Drosophila melanogaster: one gene and its partners. The protein of the gene in region 1 interacts with the protein of each later gene in a pairwise test. Each region holds a gene or a part of one and is shown on either strand. Other genes may lie near its edges. The genes, in order: CG11635, CG10055, alphaTry and gNacalpha.

The links.
Region 2: the proteins of CG11635 (region 1) and CG10055 interact in a two-hybrid assay, tested with the Drosophila melanogaster proteins (one large-scale study listed by BioGRID).
Region 3: the proteins of CG11635 (region 1) and alphaTry interact in a two-hybrid assay, tested with the Drosophila melanogaster proteins (one large-scale study listed by BioGRID).
Region 4: the proteins of CG11635 (region 1) and gNacalpha interact in a two-hybrid assay, tested with the Drosophila melanogaster proteins (one large-scale study listed by BioGRID).

Annotation. Positions count from the first base shown.
Region 1 is NT_033778.4:8,356,312-8,360,788, reverse strand, and holds CG11635 (uncharacterized protein), read right to left. Parts: upstream 2,252-4,477; 5' UTR 2,183-2,251; coding exon 1,322-2,182; 3' UTR 1,317-1,321; downstream 1-1,316. Other genes in the region: spaw (spacewatch), read left to right, coding at 1-1,276.
Region 2 is NT_033777.3:7,182,907-7,188,895, forward strand, and holds CG10055 (uncharacterized protein), read right to left. Parts: upstream 3,768-5,989; 5' UTR 3,666-3,767; coding exon 3,400-3,665; intron 3,305-3,399; coding exon 2,908-3,304; intron 2,852-2,907; coding exon 1,688-2,851; 3' UTR 1,195-1,687; downstream 1-1,194. Other genes in the region: sas (stranded at second), read left to right, coding at 1-129, 198-205; lap (like-AP180), read left to right, coding at 4,506-4,641. UniProt on the Drosophila melanogaster protein: Required for the quantitative accumulation of H/ACA ribonucleoproteins (RNPs).
Region 3 is NT_033778.4:11,343,145-11,347,356, reverse strand, and holds alphaTry (alphaTrypsin), read left to right. Parts: upstream 1-2,237; 5' UTR 2,238-2,264; coding exon 2,265-3,035; 3' UTR 3,036-3,097; downstream 3,098-4,212. Other genes in the region: betaTry (betaTrypsin), read right to left, coding at 254-1,015; epsilonTry (epsilonTrypsin), read left to right, coding at 1,310-2,080.
Region 4 is NT_033779.5:1,035,000-1,039,783, reverse strand, and holds gNacalpha (germinal nascent polypeptide-associated complex alpha subunit), read right to left. Parts: upstream 2,539-4,784; 5' UTR 2,406-2,538; coding exon 1,362-2,405; 3' UTR 1,278-1,361; exon of another isoform or gene 1,251-1,277; intron 1,206-1,250; 3' UTR 1,099-1,205; downstream 1-1,098.

The DNA of each region.
Region 1 (4,477 bases):
AAGTGTGAAGAAATTCAAAAAGGAAACGCAGGTGGATCACACAAGTCACCTATTTGTATGGCCGGAGGCGAAGGACGAAAACGTTCATCATGTGAAAGAGAACAAAGAGGATAGCAATGACGATATAACTGCATCCTGGGGCTGGAAAAATGACGAGCTTGACGTGGAGCAATTGGCAGGACTACCAAGTCCTAATGAGGTGGAGGATCCATACCGGCAGCCAAACAATGAATCTCAGGATGATCAGTTGCCATTCGCTGAAGGAGACCAATCAGGAATTCAAGAAGAATTACAATTCGCAAGAACGCGCTCCCTGCGAGAACAGCTTGTCAAGAATCAGGCGTCCCAAGAACCTTTTACCAGCTTTGAGAAAACATCTCTCACATCCGTTCGAAGGAATGTGGACTTCATGATGCAAGAGCTTAGTCAGATTTCACTTATTTTGAATACTATGGGAGGAGGTGAAAAAACAATGGGGATGGTTAACTCTGAACCGGATGTGGCTTCCTTTGCACTCAACCAACCCAAAATCAGTGAAAGTTTGAATCATGAGGAGGAATCAAATCAGTCAGTGGATAGAGCTAGTTCCCATCAATCTGAGCTAGGTGTTGCAGATTCTATGCATTCGGAGGTAGCCAGTGCGCTCTCAGAACCATCTGGATTGGGTGATGTAGAGAGCCTAGATCATAGCGAGATTTCGAACCAGTCTTTTGATTCCGAACTAACGAGGGATATCACCGATCAACTTAAATTGGATCACGAGATGGAAGCAAATCAGTCTTTGGATTCTGAGTTAACCGGTGAAATAACTAATCAATCTAGTTCGGTAGTTTCAGAGTCTTCGATTTCCGATGAGGACTTCGGGGAGGAGCTAATAAAACAATCTCACAAAATCGAGCAAATTGCGTCTGCTGGCGATACTCAAGAGTCCAGTCCTTCAAAAACCAATGAGAATACTCCCAAGACTGATGACACGCAGGACACTCAGCCTAAGGAAACCATACACACCTACAGGCCCTTTAGGACTATCGAAGTTCCTGCCAAGAAGCCTACTAGTAGCCTTAGCACCGAGTCAATTGAAGAGCAGCCGTTGAACCAGGAACCCCAATTCGGCACAGGTATCCATTTAGATAGAGAACGGTACAAAGTTTCTGCTCAGCTGACCGAGTCCGAGTCCCGCTTACTTATGCGCATGGCTCTGAAGCAGGCTTTAATCGATCTGGAGTCTGGCCAAAGCAAGTACAAAGCAACAATTCTGGAGGCTGAAACCGAGTAATACAAGAGCACCAATGACCAAAGAAATAAACATAACCTTTAAAACTTATTTTTTATTTTTATCCTTGTTCTTATCTTTCTTCTTATCCGTGCCCTTATCCTTCTTATCCTTTTTCATCTTCTTGAGCATGTCTTTTCTCGCCTTCTTGGCCTTTTTTATGGCACTGGGACAGACGTGGTTCTCACCATGAATTTTGACCCACTGACGACCCCGCTCCGCTTCGCAGAGGCTCAGGGGGAATCGGCACTCGCACTCGCGAGGTCGATATGGTCGCTTGGCCAGCTTAGGCTGCTTACAATCCGACCAGCAGGGCATCGGTGCACACAACCTGCGGCAGCAGGAGGGCGTCTTGGCCGCGTGGCATCTGGGCGGACGACGTCCTGGCACGCATCGTGCCAACGGAGCGAAATGGGGACATGGTCCTGTGGCTGTGGCACTGAGCGTTGTCCGCTCGCGCCGCTCGGCCACCCGACGGGCGGGGCTCAGAGCCTCCAGCTTGTCGTAGGCGCAGATTATCTTCTTGCGGATCATGAACTTGGGGCACTCCACCCAGTGGCGCTGGTAAGGACCGTTCTTGCAGGAGGGACGGTAATACAGCTCGTCGAATGAGGGCAGTGGTTTGGTGCAGTTGGGTTCGCAGCACAAGTCATTTGATCGGCTGACCACGAAGGGGTACGGCGGAGGCAGGTTCTTCGGCGGATCCCACATCGACTTGAACTTATCCCCTTCGGCGCAGAAGGCGGCCGGAATGCAGTGCGTCCGGATCTTGCATTCTCGTTTGGCAGAAGGAGACTTTGGTGGAGATGGTGACGATGGTGGCTTCGGTGGACTTGGAGGTTTTGGGGGTTTATTCGAGGAGCCGCTCTGACGTGAGCTGAAGCCCCTTAGTAGGGAGGACCAAAACATTAGCCGAAACTTTTAATGAAAGTGGAATTTTGAAAATTTTTGTATACCGTAACGCCGTTACATGAATCGCTAAATTAAAATTTTTTGCTTGGTATCCGAAATTTCGATCGAGGCCTACTGGACGAAAAAGAGCTGGTTGAAAATTGGAGAAAATCGGAAGAGGGTCCTGTCGCACACATTCACTTCTCCTGCAACTCAACTTCAATGCAACGGCGACAGGCAACACAAAATTGCAAACAGCGGACTGCGCATGTTTAAATTTAATTGAACATTTAGCCAAATTAAAATGCATTTTATTACGCAGCCGCTGTTTCTGGCCTGGAAATGCAAAACAACGCGCGCCCAATCAGCCAGGCCAAGTCAAGTAAATCCAGCGGAGTTGGCCATACGCGCAGATAGACGGAGGAAAAGGCAGGCCACACTGGAAGAAATACAATAAACATATCCAGAATTCGCATATCTACTCAGTTCAGATAATCAACTCGAGATAAATCCATCCACGATGATAAACAAACAGTAACAAGAGTATTGAATGTATACTATTCGTCCGTATTGGTTGCAATTTTTTCCAGTGTAAAGACACAGGCACGGCCAAATCGAAAGACGCTGACTGGGCCTAGGCACGCAACGGTTATTCAGTTTTGTCGGTTTTTCGATTTGGCCTTAAGTTGGCTAGGCAGTGCCTATGCGAAATTTGGCACAGATTCGCGGCAGATTCGATGCTATTCGGCTGGGATCGGATCGGATTTTGGATTGGACCGAGGCGGAACTGCGAGTTGCAAACTGGTTGGAGACAGGCCTAGCAAGCATGCGTTCTGCAATTGTTTAATAGCCTAATTAAGTGTGCGAGCGAACAGGTTGGCCAGGCCGGGAAAGTCGGAAAATCAGAGAATCGGAAAAGTCGGGCATATGCAAAGCCAAAGGAGCAGAGCGACTGTCATGCTTCACCAAGAGAGATGTGATGTGAAGTGATGTGACGGGACAGTGACTGCCATGCGGGTGGTTTGTCAGCTGCTAATGCCAGTCTGTCTTTATTTTCCTCTTTCTATTTTTTACTCCTTGTTCTGGCTTGCAATTACATTTGGCTGTTAATTGCATTATGCATATTTATGGTAGCTCTCCGGCTGCAGCTCCTCCCCCGGCAATCGAGTTAGGTCCGGAGCAGGATCAGGAGGCAGAGATGAGCAAGGAGCAAGGGAAGCAGACGGATCCGGCGACAATGCCGGCTCATTAGCATACATCAGCGCGTTAAGCTCGGAGCGAGTGTCTGACTGAGTTACGACCAGCTTTCCACTGTCTGCAGCTGCCGTCATCATCACCATCGCCATCGCCATCGCCATCGCCATCGCCATCATCATCTTCCTCGTAGTCATCGTCATCCAGTGAGTGGCTTAGTGGGTGTTGCCCTCTAATTTAAATTAAAATATGAAAAATACTCAACGAGTGAAAAGGGGTTTGGTTGCGAACAAAAACATCACGCTGCGAAAACTGAGAAACGTGCAGAAAAATCAAATCTAAAATAGCTGCTGGACATGGCATAATCAAATTGTGCGCACTGGGAGAGTAGGGAAAATCATATTTGCCAGGAGATTGTTGTCGCTGTGTGTGCAGCTGCAACTAATTATATTATTAAGATTTAAGATAATTTTTTATGCTTCTGCATTTCACAGATAAAATGAAACCAAAAAAATATAGAATAAGGCATATAGAAAGGTATAGCTCATATTTCAGGCACTGGCAAATAAATGGCAACATATCACACCATATTATAGAATAAACACAAATTGTATGATTCCAGCAATTTTCATAAAATATGTATATCTCTGTATATCCCACACACTAAATTCCTGGCCTGAATTACTCTTCACTGCTTTTGCTCGCCAACACCCAAGGTATTTTCACTGGAATGTCCAAAAGCCATGCTCTCAGTCGAAGTTTTCTTGGCTCAAGAGTGCGTGGGGTTCCTAGAAGTAGCGGAGAAAGCTGAGCGACTTGGCTAGGAGACATTCGGCCAAATGGAACCTTCTGCTCGCCTGGTGGGCCCAAATGCTGCGACGAGAGAGTGCGAGGATGCCGGAGAGGAAGTTGGTGGCACGGAGCAGAGCACGCGAGCGTAATTCGTCCAAATGGCCATAATAAATAAATGTGCCATTAGCCCGGTCGCAAAGTCCGCCTAAATCTACACATGCAGAAATACTAGACGGCAGTCGTATATCAATAAGCCAACGGGCGGACGAAAACTTTCTAATCGCAGTATAATTGCAGGGGACCAACAAAAAATATTCGTAAACCGCA
Region 2 (5,989 bases), on another chromosome or scaffold:
CTTTGGCCCTGCTACTTATTATCACCAGGAGACGAGTTCATCAAACGGCATCCATTACGCCACCACGAAAAAGCGACGCTGCCTACGATAATCCCTCATACAAGGTGGAGATCCAACAGGAGACTATGAGTAAGTAAATCTCAAAATCCCAATAGACTTTCTGATAGAGTTTCTGATGCTATGATCTTGAATTCCAGATCTGTAAATGGCGCACAATGCCCTAAAAAGCAACTAGAGTTAAAGCAGATTCTTGTAAATATTGAAGGAAATGGATGTGGAAGAATAACTCAGTGTCAGTAAAGGAAAATCCTGAATCAATCACATTAAATCAGATGGAGCAAGCAATTTTCTGAAACCGGCGCAATATCAAAAAATTTGTTCAAATCGAAATGGCCGCCATGTTGAATGTAGTGGTTAAGTAATCTAAAAGCACATACCTTTTGTTAAACAATTTGTGACTTGTGTAAATAGAGAGAGATTGAGACAGAAGCAGACACCCTATAGAAGAACCAATTGACAACAGCTCCACAACTCAAATTGGCCTCGCTGGGCGTATCGATTCTATTGGCGATTTCAAAATGCATACGAGTTTAGTTAGTTTAACTTGTAAATTGTAGCTTTACACTAATCGTAATTAAAGGGCGCATCAGCATCAACAGAATCCGCAGCACCAGCAATACGATGCGTTCTTCAATTAACAGTCCATAAATATTTAAATTAGCTTTTAAAACGTACATAGATATGCATATATGTATGTATGTGAGTATGGATAAATAAAGAAAAGATAATAAAACCCAAGCAAATGTTTTTCTTATCGGATTGAACCATCAAAATTGTGTTGAAGATACAAAGTATCTGATCTTCTGATTTAAGCGTACTAAAAGTAACAGTATGTTTTATATGCATTTTAAATACTGATACTTAAATGTTTGTAAGTAAAATGAAAAATAACTTCTCCTTCAAAAAGCTTACCTACCTATTTGTCACTTTTTTAAACGACAGCTTGGTTGATACGAAGAATAAAATAATAAAGAACTCATGTCGCGATGTTTTTAAAAAAATATGTATTATCCATTTTATTAGAATTTTCGTTCATACTTCATGTCTTTCTTTTTATAAGACACTCATACAACATTAACATGTAAATCATTAATGACTTTTGCCCACTGTGTAGATAAGTTTGGAGGTTGTTTTCCATTTCCATTTTATTTTATTCATATTTTGTTTTCTTTGCTTGCAGCACCAACAATATCGATAGATGTATATACAAATGCACAACTAGATTTCGCTTTTCAGAATTCAAAATTCAAATGTTTCATACTCTAATGCCATACTAAATGCTAAAGTTCTGATTTACTTGTATGTGTAATTATAATCGAAGTAATTGTAGAGCAAAGGGGAAAAAATATTCAAATATCTTTTCGCATTTGGCGTGAACAAATCTTTGAGTTTGCTTTTCGTTAAATTATTGTACAATTAAGATATAAGAAGTTCTTCTTTTTTGGGTATTCTTGTGTAAACTTACATCATTTACTTGGCTTGGTTTTTAGTTTCGTATTTTACTTTGTTTTAATTTTAAAAGTAATCACTGTTTAGCCTCCGTTCTTTGACATTAAGTTGGTTGTGTTGCTTGTTTGTTTTGGGCAAGGCAGGAGCAGGACTTGCCGAACTCGACATAAGTGGCAATTTATGTGGTGCTGGCTGCTGTCTCACTGTTGCTGCACTGCTCGATGACGCTGTTTCCCTCCGCCTCGCTACTGGTGGTTGTGGAAGAACTGCTGTCGTCTTCGTCTTCATCCTCATCCTCATCCTCATCCCCATCCCCATCTTCATCATCATCTCCATCTTCATCGTCATCTTCGTCCTCCTCGTCATCCTCATATACAATTTCGTTCTCTATCAGTCGCATGTCCATGTCCACGCTGTAGAAGGAGTCAGTTATGACGCTTTCATCATCAGTGGTAGTCTCGTCCTCCTGTCCAGAAGTATCGTTATCAAGGTCCAAGTCATCATCGCCATGCTGCTGCTGCGGCGAGGAACCCTGGCTTCCCGCATCGATGCGCATCTCCTGCATCAGCTCCTTGATCAGCTCAGTCTCAATCTCGGTCACTCCCAGGCCCAAGTGTTGCTTGTTTACGTCCATCAGCACGTTCTTAAGGTTGCGGGCAAGAAGGCGCATGTGCTCATCACTGCAGGCGCTCGGGCTGGTCACATATCGTATATAGTCCTCCAAATAGTAGTTGTTGAAGCTATCGCGACTGGGATCACTGCTGGCGAACTGCTGGTGCGTTAGCAGCAGCTGATTAATTAACCAGTTGCGACCGCCCTTTAAAACTTCTATGGCATCCCGTACACATTGGCGGCCCAACTCGAAATTGCGGTACAGCGGGTAGGTGATCATTCGCCGCAGGAAGGCAACCAGTACGTCCCGATAGTTGTCGAATTGCTCAAAGTAGCAATAAAGCGGGCACAGTATGCTTCGCGTCCAGCCCGATTCACACGTCGGCTCATTGTTCGTCGTCCGCACATCATAGCATATGGCCAACAGAATGCTTATCAGCCCGCAATCGATCTCGTTTTGCCGAAAAACGTCGCACGGCTGCTGCTCCCGTGTCTGCATTCGGCTGATGTTGTGCAGCAGATGCGCTTGCTCCTGGGTCATGGAAGTCTCGTAGATTTTCGGTTTGTAGCGTAAAGGATTCTGGTGACCGGACGGAACCTGTAGCTCCACAAAATTTATTTTGTACTGCTCGCGGGAAAAGCGCTTCATCTCATCGACCACGCGCTCTTGCCGCCTTTGGATGGGGCTCATGCGATGTGGCTCCGACACGCGGCACGTGGCTCTGTCCAACTGTGAAAACATCTGTGTTTAGTGCGCGGAAGAGCAGGTTAACCAATTGAACTCACCTCACTCAGGTCTAGCGGTCCGCTGTATTCGCTAGCATAGCCGTACCCAAAATTGTTGGTCAGCTTGTAGGTGCGCTCGTGGTCGTCGAGCTGCAATTGGCACTGATCGGTGATTCGTTTGAGTTTCCATTCCTGCACCAGAGGCTGCTTGTCCGGCAAATTGGCACTCAGTGTGGGTAGGTGCAGGAATGCGGCTATGTACTCTTTGCGACTATTCCACTGCTTGGCTGCATCCCCCGTACCACCGCCTCCGCCTCTTTCTCCACCGGGTCCTTCCTGGGCACCCGCTGTTAGGGGCAGACAGCGCAGGCAAATTTGGTAGTGATTCTCTGTCGTGTTGAACTTTATCAACAGCGTCTTCAGCTCTCGCAAGTCGAAGGTGCGACGGCTGTGGAATCTGTCCGAAAAGGGAGTACAAGTACGCAATGATATCGCTGGAATTTCGCCACCATGGCCCACCATGGGCACGACAGATTGCCGGATGTGACTCACTTGTACAGCTTAACATCTGCGTAGAAATAAAGATCGTGCGCGTCAACGAATATATCGCAGTTTCTTATGCGATCCACATGCAACGCCTCCGCTTCCGCCAACCCCGACCCCGCTTCCTGACCAAACTCCTCACCAGCGGAAGAAGAAGCAGCAGCAGCTGCTGCTGGCTGGGCCGACTTTGAGGACTGATTCAGGACAGGCGGGCGGGGTATGATCAGCGTGCACGAGTTCTCCAAATAACTGTGTGCAATCTGTCCATTCAACATCTTACAATTTTATTACGAGACTGTTGATTGTGCTAACTACTGTTTTTTAGTATAATTTTATTTATTTTAATGACCAGTATGACCGCCTACTCGAAACTAAAAATTCCTGTTGACAGCCCCTTAGCTTACGTTACGTTTGGCTACACTTCCGACAAATCTAGCTACTTTTTAACTGCTGTTGGGGAATTTTAAGTGCTAAGTTATAAAAAAAGATTTATTTATAGTATCTTAATATTTTATATTTTTATTTATTTATTTATCATTATTTTTTTTTATTTTCAGAACTTATATGAACACATCGTAAAAGCTAAGTTCAGCTATTTCGTATTCGCTTACGTTATGGCAATCGATATTTTCCCACCTAACGCCGTAAACTCAAGTCGATTGCACGCGTTAGCTCCACTTTGTGGACGCTTTAGGACATTGCTCATACGCTCGCTCCATTTGCCAGTCGCCATTATCGATTTGTGGCAGAGGAAAAATAGAGAATTAAAAAATCGCGTTTCAGCGTTAGGCACCGGTTAGAGAGCGCATAAACCGCGGCGATAAATTGTGTAGTGATTGTGACGTAGGAACCACTAAATCTTTACTGTTAGTTTAATCGTGAGGCTCGCATAGCAGAGTTTTCCCGTTCGAAATATTCTCAATCAATCAATACCTCTCTGTCTCTCGCTCGCCCCATACGCGTGTGTGTGTGTGTCTCTCTCTCCCTCTCTCTGTATCTGCTTTCGAGTGTGTGTGTGTGTCGGTGTGGTCAGCTCCTTTGGTGCATAATTAAATTAATCAAGTAAATAAAAACCAGCGAGCGGCAGCAGAAACAACAACAGCAACAGCTTCATCATGACCATGGCAGGGCAAACGATCAACGACAGGCTGCTGGCCGCCCGTCACAGCCTTGCGGGCCAAGGACTCGCCAAGTCCGTTTGCAAGGCCACCACGGAGGAATGCATTGGCCCGAAGAAGAAGCACTTGGACTGTGAGTTGCCCTGTCTATCTCTTTCCCTTGCCCACTCTCTTGGTCTTTCATTGCGTAAATCACCGTTACATTTCCTTGTTATAACACAGAGAGAAAAGAGGCACAGCCTTGTGCTACTAGTGGAAATGTACCCATCAAACACACGAAAATATTATTGTTACTTTGTAACGCTTTAAAATTAATTTATTTTTATTTGCAAACATAAGTCGCAATAAAATCTGTTTAGAAATTAACTTAAATTTTAATAATAATAAAAATTGGAATGAATAATATACTAAAGTAAGGAGTGCCTAACAAATTAGCAAAGAAAATAAAAAATTTAAATGTAGCCTAAATATAAAAACCATCGGCACAGTTAGTACGCTGCAAAAGTAATTTAGCAACAACATTCAGATGCAACCAGTTCGGGTTTCTTGGCTTCCTCGCTCCATTTTCACGTGCCTTTTGTTTTTGTGCGATAAATCACAAAGTTTTCTGAAAACGAAACCACTGATTACGGTCCACAAAGTCCCACAAACACAAACCACCACCCTCAAATTGCATCTGTGGCTCAGCTGCTGGTGTTTGTGGACTCCGTTCGTCATTGATTGGACTCCCCTCTCTTTCTACCAACACACTCTCTCTCTCTCTCTAATGTTACGTCACTTTCCCACGGGTGCACGTGTGTTTGTAGGGGCTTTGAATGGCTTAAAACGCCTACGAAAGCAGGGATTGTGTTTGTCACGGTGTCATTGCTTGTTAAATTTATGCAAGAGTCTTCCCTAATTTGCTGGATTTGCTTACACGTTTGAATTTTGCAAATACTTCTAAAGAGCTCCATATCCTAACGACATTCATTCCCGTTGGAATCTGTTTTTTTGGCTAGTTTTGCTCGCATTTTGACCCCCTTTTATTTAGCTTGTTGGCACTTTTCAGATGACTCATCAGATATGGCTACGAGTAAATGGGAATAAAAGAGGGCAATATTGTGGGGCGTTACTTGTCACATAAACATTGTATTGCAGTTGCCGCAAACCAATTTCCAATATAACCCAAAATTTGGCCACATGTGCTGTTTATTCAAGTTGATTACTTTATCCAAAACGTTATGCTCAATTCAGTTACCAAAAGTCTAAATAAATTAAACCTGAGTTAAAAGTCAGTCCGTACATTTTACAAGACGTCAGCAGGTAGCATGAAATATATTTCTTCTACCTATTTTCTCTATTTTCTTTTGTTAACAACTTTTGTCCTATGATAAAACCAGTTGTGTGTTCACGGAAACAACAGCACTTAATGAGCTTTACACCGATTGAAAAGATCCCAGAATATTTCAACCAGCTACACAAGTGGGCAATAATAATTAAAA
Region 3 (4,212 bases), 3.0 Mb from region 1:
ATCACGCTAATAATCCTTAGGGCATTCTAACAGAATATGGGGATAGTTAAATCCAATCAATCAATTTCCATAGTCCTAAAAGCAGTCCCTTTACTGCTTGCACAACTCACTATATCTAATAGTCATTGCACTCGAACAGTCATTACCATCTAAAAATGTGAACCCTGTGTCCTGATTTTTAACTAAGACCATCTTTTAAAATAAACTGACGACCGTCATAAACTGTTCATATATGATTTATTTCGAAAAATAATTAGGCGTTGTTGATCACCCAGGAGCGGAGGGCAGCAACATCGGCATAGACACCGGGGTAGTTAGCGGCAGCACATCCGTATCCCCAGGAGACAACACCGACGAGGACTCCGCCGGAGACCAGTGGGCCACCGGAGTCACCCTGGCACGAGTCCTTGCCGCTGGCAAAAGCGCAGATCATGGAGCTCTTGATCTGGTTTCCGTAGCCATAGGAGGAAGAAGAGCACCGGCTCTGGCTGACGATGTTCACGTTGACATAACGCAGCTGGGAGGGAATGGAGCTGGAGCCAGAGGACTCGGTACCCCATCCGGAGACGGAGGCAGCAGCACCGTTGGCGGGGTTGGAGCTAGCCAGACCGATGGCCTTGATGGTGGAGCTGAAGCTCAGAGAGGAGCTCAGATGGAGCACAGCGATGTCGTTGACCATGGTGTTGGCGTTGTAACCCTCGTGGTTCTTGAAAGAGGAAACCTTGGCGACGACGCCACCAGAGCTCCAGTAGCTGGATCCGGCGCGGATCTGCAGGGAGGAGGCGGACACGGACTGCAGGCAGTGAGCGGCGGTCACGATCACCCTGGCGGAGTAGATGGATCCACCGCAGGAGTGGCTGCCACTGCGCTGCAGGGAGATCTGCCAGGGGAAGCTGCTGATGGTGGTAGCAGTACCGCCGACAATGCGGCCATCCAACTGGGGCAGGAGACCCTCGGGGATGGTGCCTCCCAGGGCGCAGGCTACAGCCGACAACAGGATCAGGAACTTCAGCATGGTGCGATTGAATGGATACTCTTCGAACCGAAAAGTGTGCTTATATCGGGGGTCACTATCTCGGGAGGCGTTTAATCAATGGACAAGTGAGATTCCTCGTGGTTAAAGTGGATAACGATGTGGAGTGGTCGTCGTGTGATAAGCTGATTATTTCTAAATATCACCGCCTATATCGATGGTGAAAATGACGCAACAATTATGCTGAAGTTGCAGCTGTCAATCAAGTGGAGATATTTGCCGCGGGGACTGTATAAAAGGGGTTTTGATCCGCGAATCAGCATACAAACGATTAAAATGTTGAAATTCGCGGTACTTCTTTCCGTTTTGGCCTGCGCCTTGGCTGGCACCATTCCCGATGGCCTGCTGCCCCAGTTGGATGGTCGTATCGTCGGTGGTTATGAGACCAGCATCGACGCCCATCCCTACCAGGTGTCCTTGCAGCGCTATGGATCACACTTCTGCGGTGGATCCATCTACTCCCACGACATTGTGATCACCGCCGCTCACTGCCTGCAGTCGATTGAGGCCAAGGACCTGAAGATTCGTGTGGGCAGCACCTACTGGCGCTCCGGCGGCAGTGTCCACTCCGTTCGCTCCTTCCGCAACCACGAGGGCTACAACTCCCGCACCATGGTCAACGACATTGCTATTATTCGCATCGAGTCCGATCTGAGCTTCCGCTCCAGCATTCGCGAGATCCGTATTGCCGACTCCAACCCTCGTGAGGGCGCCACCGCCGTGGTTTCCGGCTGGGGCACCACCGAGTCCGGTGGCAGCACCATTCCCGATCATCTGCTGGCCGTTGATCTGGAGATCATCGATGTGTCGCGTTGCCGCTCGGATGAGTTCGGATACGGAAAGAAGATCAAGGACACCATGCTCTGCGCCTACGCCCCACACAAGGATGCCTGCCAGGGTGACTCCGGTGGCCCACTTGTCTCCGGAGACCGCCTTGTCGGTGTTGTGTCCTGGGGCTATGGATGCGGTGATGTGAGGTATCCCGGTGTCTACGCCGACGTTGCCCACTTCCACGAGTGGATCGAGAGGACCGCCGAGGAGGTGTAAAGCCAGACAAACACTTGAAATAAATCGCAATTGAATCAGCATTGATATCTGTTTCTCTATTTGGGCCCAATTGCGTCGCAGGTGTAAAGCCCTCGAAATTGCGGCTAGATAAGAATTGTAGCGTGGGCTGTATATAAGGTTGGACGGGCGGCATGTAAGCCAGCACTTGTTAGCAACGCCCATCATGTTGAAGATCGTGATCCTCTTGTCCGCCGTGGTCTGCGCCCTGGGAGGCACCGTCCCTGAGGGACTCCTGCCTCAGTTGGATGGCCGCATTGTCGGCGGCTCTGCTACCACCATCAGCAGCTTCCCCTGGCAGATCTCCCTGCAGCGCAGTGGCAGCCACTCCTGCGGTGGATCCATCTACTCTGCCAACATCATTGTGACCGCCGCTCACTGTCTGCAGTCCGTGTCCGCTTCAGTCCTGCAGGTCCGTGCTGGATCCACCTACTGGAGCTCTGGTGGCGTCGTCGCCAAGGTTTCCTCTTTCAAGAACCACGAGGGATACAACGCTAACACCATGGTCAACGACATCGCTGTCATCCGTCTGAGCTCTTCCCTGAGCTTCAGCTCAAGCATCAAGGCTATTAGCCTGGCCACTTACAACCCAGCTAACGGAGCCTCTGCCGCCGTTTCCGGTTGGGGTACCCAGTCGTCCGGATCCAGCTCCATCCCCTCCCAGCTGCAGTACGTGAACGTGAACATCGTTAGCCAGAGCCAGTGTGCTTCCTCCACCTACGGATACGGTAGCCAGATCCGCAACACCATGATCTGCGCTGCTGCCAGCGGCAAGGATGCCTGCCAGGGTGACTCCGGTGGCCCACTGGTCTCCGGCGGAGTCCTCGTCGGTGTTGTCTCCTGGGGATACGGATGCGCTTACTCCAACTACCCCGGTGTCTATGCCGATGTTGCTGTCCTCCGCTCTTGGGTGGTGAGCACTGCTAACAGCATCTAAGCTGGTACCCAGTAGGTTGGATGTGTCAAAAGCCTTCAATAAATATTTGCCATTCAGAACATAGATGATTTGTATTTGGTCTGGGTACTTTAACATAAGAGGGTTTACAAAATATACAGAAAGCTTTTGTATTTACTTCTATGTAGTTTAAGTTAGTGGTTAAGCCTAAAGAATAAAGTAGTGGAAGTTGAATGTATTACACATACCACTTATTACACCTTTCGTATTAACAATAGGGAAACAGTTCTCGAGGTTGCCCGCGTCACAGGTCTTATCTTTTGTAGGGTTCACGGGTATTCACATAAAGTAAGATAATTCAACGCACCTTCTGTGATTTTCACCGATTTCAATGGGCTCGAGTGGCTAAAGGTAAACATTTGTCCAGGACCAATCTAATCAACTTCGAGTGCATCGCGTGGCTAGGGTTCCAATTCATCTTCCATTGATAAGTTGAGTGATGGTCTGGACAGCTGTGGCAAGATTAATTAGCCGGAAAAAAATGAATAGATAAGATTGCACAGATTTGGACACTCGAAGTTGAACGTTTTGGTGAACCGTGACTGGTGAAATACTGGACGGTGTGAATAGATGGTAGGAATGGATTGTCTTCTGTTCTTTTTCTTATATTTGTGAATTAAACGCAACAACAATTGCAAAGAATAAACAATTTGCCATATTTTTTAACCGATAATGCTGTTTATAAAAAGTTCCATTATCAATTCCATAATAAAGTTGAAATTTGCCATTTTTAAGTAGAAATTTTGATTGGCAGAGGGTCGTTCATATAGCCACCCCTTATTTTAACGGGTATTTCCAACTCGACGTAGCATTGGTGACGTTTGTGCTAATTTGTGCTTTTAATGGGCCATTAAAATTGTCTCTTCTATGACTTAACCTACTTTTTGGGAATTACGTGTCGTAGAAATCACCTTTGCCATTTCGTAAATGTGGTAAAAGTTATATCTTTGCATGTGAAATTTTCAGTAAACCTCAATTGGGTGAAGGAGTGTCTTGCCTAAGACTCACATATCCACGAACCCCAAAGTCAAGTGAGAAAATATGTCGGAACATTTGGTATGAAATCAAATATATCCTAGTAAATATCTTTTTTACACAAAATTTATTTTTGCACATAGTTCTTGAATAATAATCGTTATAGAAAAGCCATAAATGTTTT
Region 4 (4,784 bases), on another chromosome or scaffold:
GTAGTTCATTTCGAGAAAGTGCTAGACCGAATGATGTCATTAGGCATTTAACAACTTTCGCTGTTGTTGCCGCTTTCTCCGGGATTTGGTCAGCAAGGAGTGGAAATTGCCGACGCGGAAAGTACTTCAAAGTACCATTTGGATTGGGCAGTAAATTGCGCAGTACGGCTGCCGACTGTCAACTGATTTGTATTTCGGCAGCATCTTCAATTCCGCTGATTAAAGGGAGCCAACTTAATCAATTTCCGGCGGAGAAAGTTCCACGGAAAGGGAATGGAGCCCCAAGAACTTTCCATTCGAAGCCGACACGCGCGGGCACTTTCTACTCGCACTATATGAGTGTACAGAACGAAGAAGGTGAATGCGTCCCACCTACAAAGTTTCCATTTCCACTTTTCCGGCGAAAAAGCGGGCACGTGCTCAGCCGCACGGACTGTTGAGCGCCCACAATGCAAAACTAAAGCCTTTTTTACGGCTGCTGACGACAGCTGAAAATTAAAAAAAGTTCAGTTAGAGCCGGAGCTAGTCATTAAGTGGCTTTTGGGGCCAGAAAAGGGACGTTGAACGTAGTCGAGCCATTTAATTGAGTCAAATGTCCGCGGAGCAGGACTTGCGTAGCCACGTCACCAGCAGCGACGTCACCTGTCTCACCTGGGAGTACCCCTGAAATCCCCTGAAAGAGCTGAAACGCAATCACGGCGTCGTCAAAAATTCGCCAGCAAAAAATGCAAAGTCGAGTGCCGGGGGACTTCGCCAAATGGCTAAAAACTAAGTGCAGAGTAAACAAGAGTGCAGCGTCAGCGGCACAAAGAAAGAAGCGATTAAGTTTCCGCCACAGAGAAAATGTCCAAGAATGACGGTACCTGAAAGGAAAATTGCCAAAGTCTAGCGCTGATGGAAGAGCAAATACGAGTATAATGAAAATGGTTCGGGTTCGCATATGCGTTCTTCGCCCTTCGGAAAATGCTTTCACTGTGCCAAGATGGAAATGGTGGAAATGTCAATTCATTAGAAAATTGAAATAAGATGGCAATTTCGCTGTACAAAGGGGTTCTTCAGTGGGATTCTTCTGCTGGGACCGAAAACATTTTCAAAAACCAGGAAATGATCGGCATTTAATATAGTACGAGCTACATTGGCACCGGAGATTGTCATTCTTGTAGAACAAGCCATCCACCAGGAGAAGTGAAGTCCGAAAGGATTGTCTGGATTACATGAAAGTATAGTAAATAAAAACAACATGAAAGTTTACGATTTGATTGTAATCATTTAATTACCATTAATTTCTATGGCGAACATGGATGTTATTGAAATTCTCTTTATTTCATGACTTTGAATACAAAGGAGCCACTCAGAGCGACTTAACCCACAGTCAGGGCCATGATGGCATTGACCACATCGTTGTCGTTCTTCAGCAGCGCCTGGATCGCCTTTTTGCGCGAGCACGCGGCCTGCATCTGTACCAGTTCGATGTCCTTCGCATGTAGGCCCATGGCATCCGCGTCCTCGCCATCGTTCTCGTCGTCGTCGTCGTCGTGTGGGGACTCCTCGCCAGGGGCTTTTCCATCCTCGTTACCTTGCCGCCCGGCAGGCGAGGTTCCACGGAATCGCTCGGCCGCCTTGACAGCTGCCTGGGAGGCGACGGACGTGGTGCTAGTGTCCTCCACGCAGATCTCCCCAAAGAAGATGTACGTCGACGAGTGCGCCACTCTGTAGACGTCCGGCTGATCGATGTACAAGAGGATGTTCTTGCCCTTCTTCATGGTCACTCGGGCCACGTTCTCCATGGGCTTCAGGTCCAGCTTCATGAGGATCCGGCGTGCCTTCCGCTCGCCGCGAGACTGCTTTGATACCTCACGTGTTCGCACGGCCACCGTACCGAGTTGACCCTGCTCGTCCGGTTGGGTCTCCTTGGGATCCGCTTCCACGAGATCCGGGGCGTCATCGGAGTCCGTGCTCTGATCATCCTCAACTACGCAGGATTTCGCGGCGGAGGCGCCCTCCTCCTTCTGCGAGTTCGGCAGACTGAACACATTGGGCGGCAGCTGTTTGGCCAGGCTCATCAGCTTCTTGATCTTGTTGCGGTAGGCCGGGTCCATTTGACCCATGATGTGGGGCTTCCCCTTTGCGCCACTAAAGCCTGCCGGAGGTTTATTCTTGACATCCAAGGCGTCTTCCGAACTGGAGATCTCCTTCTGAAGTGCCTTTGCGACGTTTGGTTTTTGCGTTGCCTTGGGCTTCCCTTTTTTTCCACTGCCACTTGGTGAGGGAGAGGCTTCTTCGGCAGGCTTTTCTTTGGCCACCACGTTGTCGGCAGCGGTCTTCGATTTCTCGGCAGCGGTCTTCAATTTCTCGGCAGCGGTCGCCATCTGGGCAGCCTTCTTCATTTTCTGCTTCTTACCCATCTTGAGGAATAAACAGCAACTGAGGGATTTGCGATCACAGATTTGCGAGGACAACTTCTCCAAAAAAATTTCCAAATTGGCAGCGCACGTGGTGTGACCTCTTGCGGGAAAGACTTGACAGGAAATATCAGAGGTGAAACTTCCAGTGGCTTGACAGCTGGTGTTGCTCTCTTCGATAAGTGCTGTTGCGAAATTTGGTATACTTATCGAAAAGTTTTTTCATAATGAAAACTGGAAATTTTTTATGCTAATGGCACCTAAATAGCGAAATAAACAATATCAAGTGTTGCTTTCGGAAAGATTATAAGTTTTTAAAATGGCCACTCGGCCATTCGAACATGCAGAGCACGCCTAAGTCTATCGATATCGATAGGTCCCAGTGCAATCGTGAACTGATTATAGGCGTTAGCAGCGCTGCTCTGAAGAAAGTTGGTATTTTTCAAACGAGAATGTCAGCTGCCTTCGAACTGTGCACTTAATTTCGCGGTTATAAAAGTTTTGCTGCAGCGCCTCGCAAATTCTATCGAAATTGATGATTGCAAATCAATCCACTGCAGTGACGTGCTTGAAAATTTTCACCTGACAAAGCCAGTTTAAAAGTGGTGGAGAAATGAAAAGTTCAGCGGTTATTTGGGTAATATTCGAATATGCAAAGTCGTAAAACTCGGATGCCCGGAAAATGCCAAAGACCTGAATCTGAAGCTGGTTCCTCCGTGTTAATTGCTGTCGTGGTCGCACCGCAGTCTGCCTCCAAAGCGGAGCAGCCCCACAAACACGACGCGGTGGAGCAAGCGCGGTTACACGTGCGGTTTTCCTTGCGGTTTTCCGGCTCCCGAATTTCCCAGATCAGGCGGTTCAGGGCGGGGCTGTGTGATCCTGTTTTGCGTTCTGCGTGTGGCGAAAAAACACTTGCTAAGTGCATTAAAAAAGTGCCACGCCCTATTAGGGCGCTCTTCGTGTTACGGAAATTACATCACAATTCGAGACAACCGTACAATAAGAATATGAGCACGTATGGATCAAATCCCCAATGGAGTTAACATAACATTTAGCATAATTTTCATGAATTCTGACCTTTCCTATTTCCTACATAACAGGTATGTGGTAATCGGGAGCATGTATTGCATTTTTTCTGCAAGCCGCTGCGCTCTGTCTGATGATGCGTTTTTAATTGCTCGGTTCTTTTAATTAAAGTTCGAGCGAAAGAAGGGCGTCCACCACCTGCAATTATTAAACTTTATCGTGGGGTCAACGCCTAATTGAGTTGCACAAATTATTCAGGAGAGGCGAATGAAGCAGCAGGAGGAGGACTAGGAGGATGTGGAGGGCAGGAGACCGAGGATGCATCCGGCTGCCGCCGCAGAGTCTGTCCTGTCACCATAATTAAATTCGAGAGGCCAACTAATCAGATATTCCCTTTGCCCAGCCATGAGTCCTCGCATCTTAACATCTCGGTCGATTCGATTCAATGTTGCTCGGTTAAGTTAAGTTCTGCGCGGACTTGGAACTCGGAGACCCGGAGAGCCGGAGAAGGGTGAAAAGTTTTTGGGCGTCCTGGCACGTTCGTCCCATGATTAATTATCCGCCCCATATGCTGCGGTGTCATCTGGGCCCATCCAACTTATTGGGGCTTAGTCTTAGCCTCGAAGTTTAGTTTCTGCTGCCACGGCCTGTGCATGAAAAATGAACCCAATTCGGAGGCCCACCAGGACGAGGTCTTCACTCTCCTTCAAGGCAACGAGGCCCACAGAAGCCGCTTTCTGGGGGCAAAAATCTGTAACGCATTAATCATGCAAGTTTCGAGAAATGATTGAAATCATATTACCATGTCGTAGACATGTTATAACCAAAGATGTTTCCGTAATTGAGATCTTGGCCAAGGCATTCATATTGTGCCTGCTCGAGAGTCTCCTCTTCCCGCTAATGAATTTCATTGCTGATTGATGCTTATTTGGCTTAATTCTATTGTTGTAAGTGAATCAGCAGTCTTTGCTAGGAAAACTATTTATTAAAGGAGTTTGTTTTAGTGAGTTTATAGTGAGTCTGCAAATTAGTTTCGAATAGCACCAAGTTTTTATACATCCTGATGCCGTAGCAAATTTGTGGACATACTGTTTGCACTCCCAATAAAGTAGAAACCCAATTTGTTTTTAGCGTTGACAAGGTCATTTCACTTGGTACCTTGTTCGCTTGATAATTTGACGTTTATTTTGTCGATGGGCCAATCTGGAATGCCACATCTTTGTGCTGCTGTTGATGAGCTGGAATCCCGTTTGGCAGGCGGTATGGCTGTGCCTTCAGAATGAAGTAAACTCTGCCGTCATCCTCTTTCAAAATATGTCAGCCTTGAGCGAGGCTGACGCGCTTATCGCCAAATGA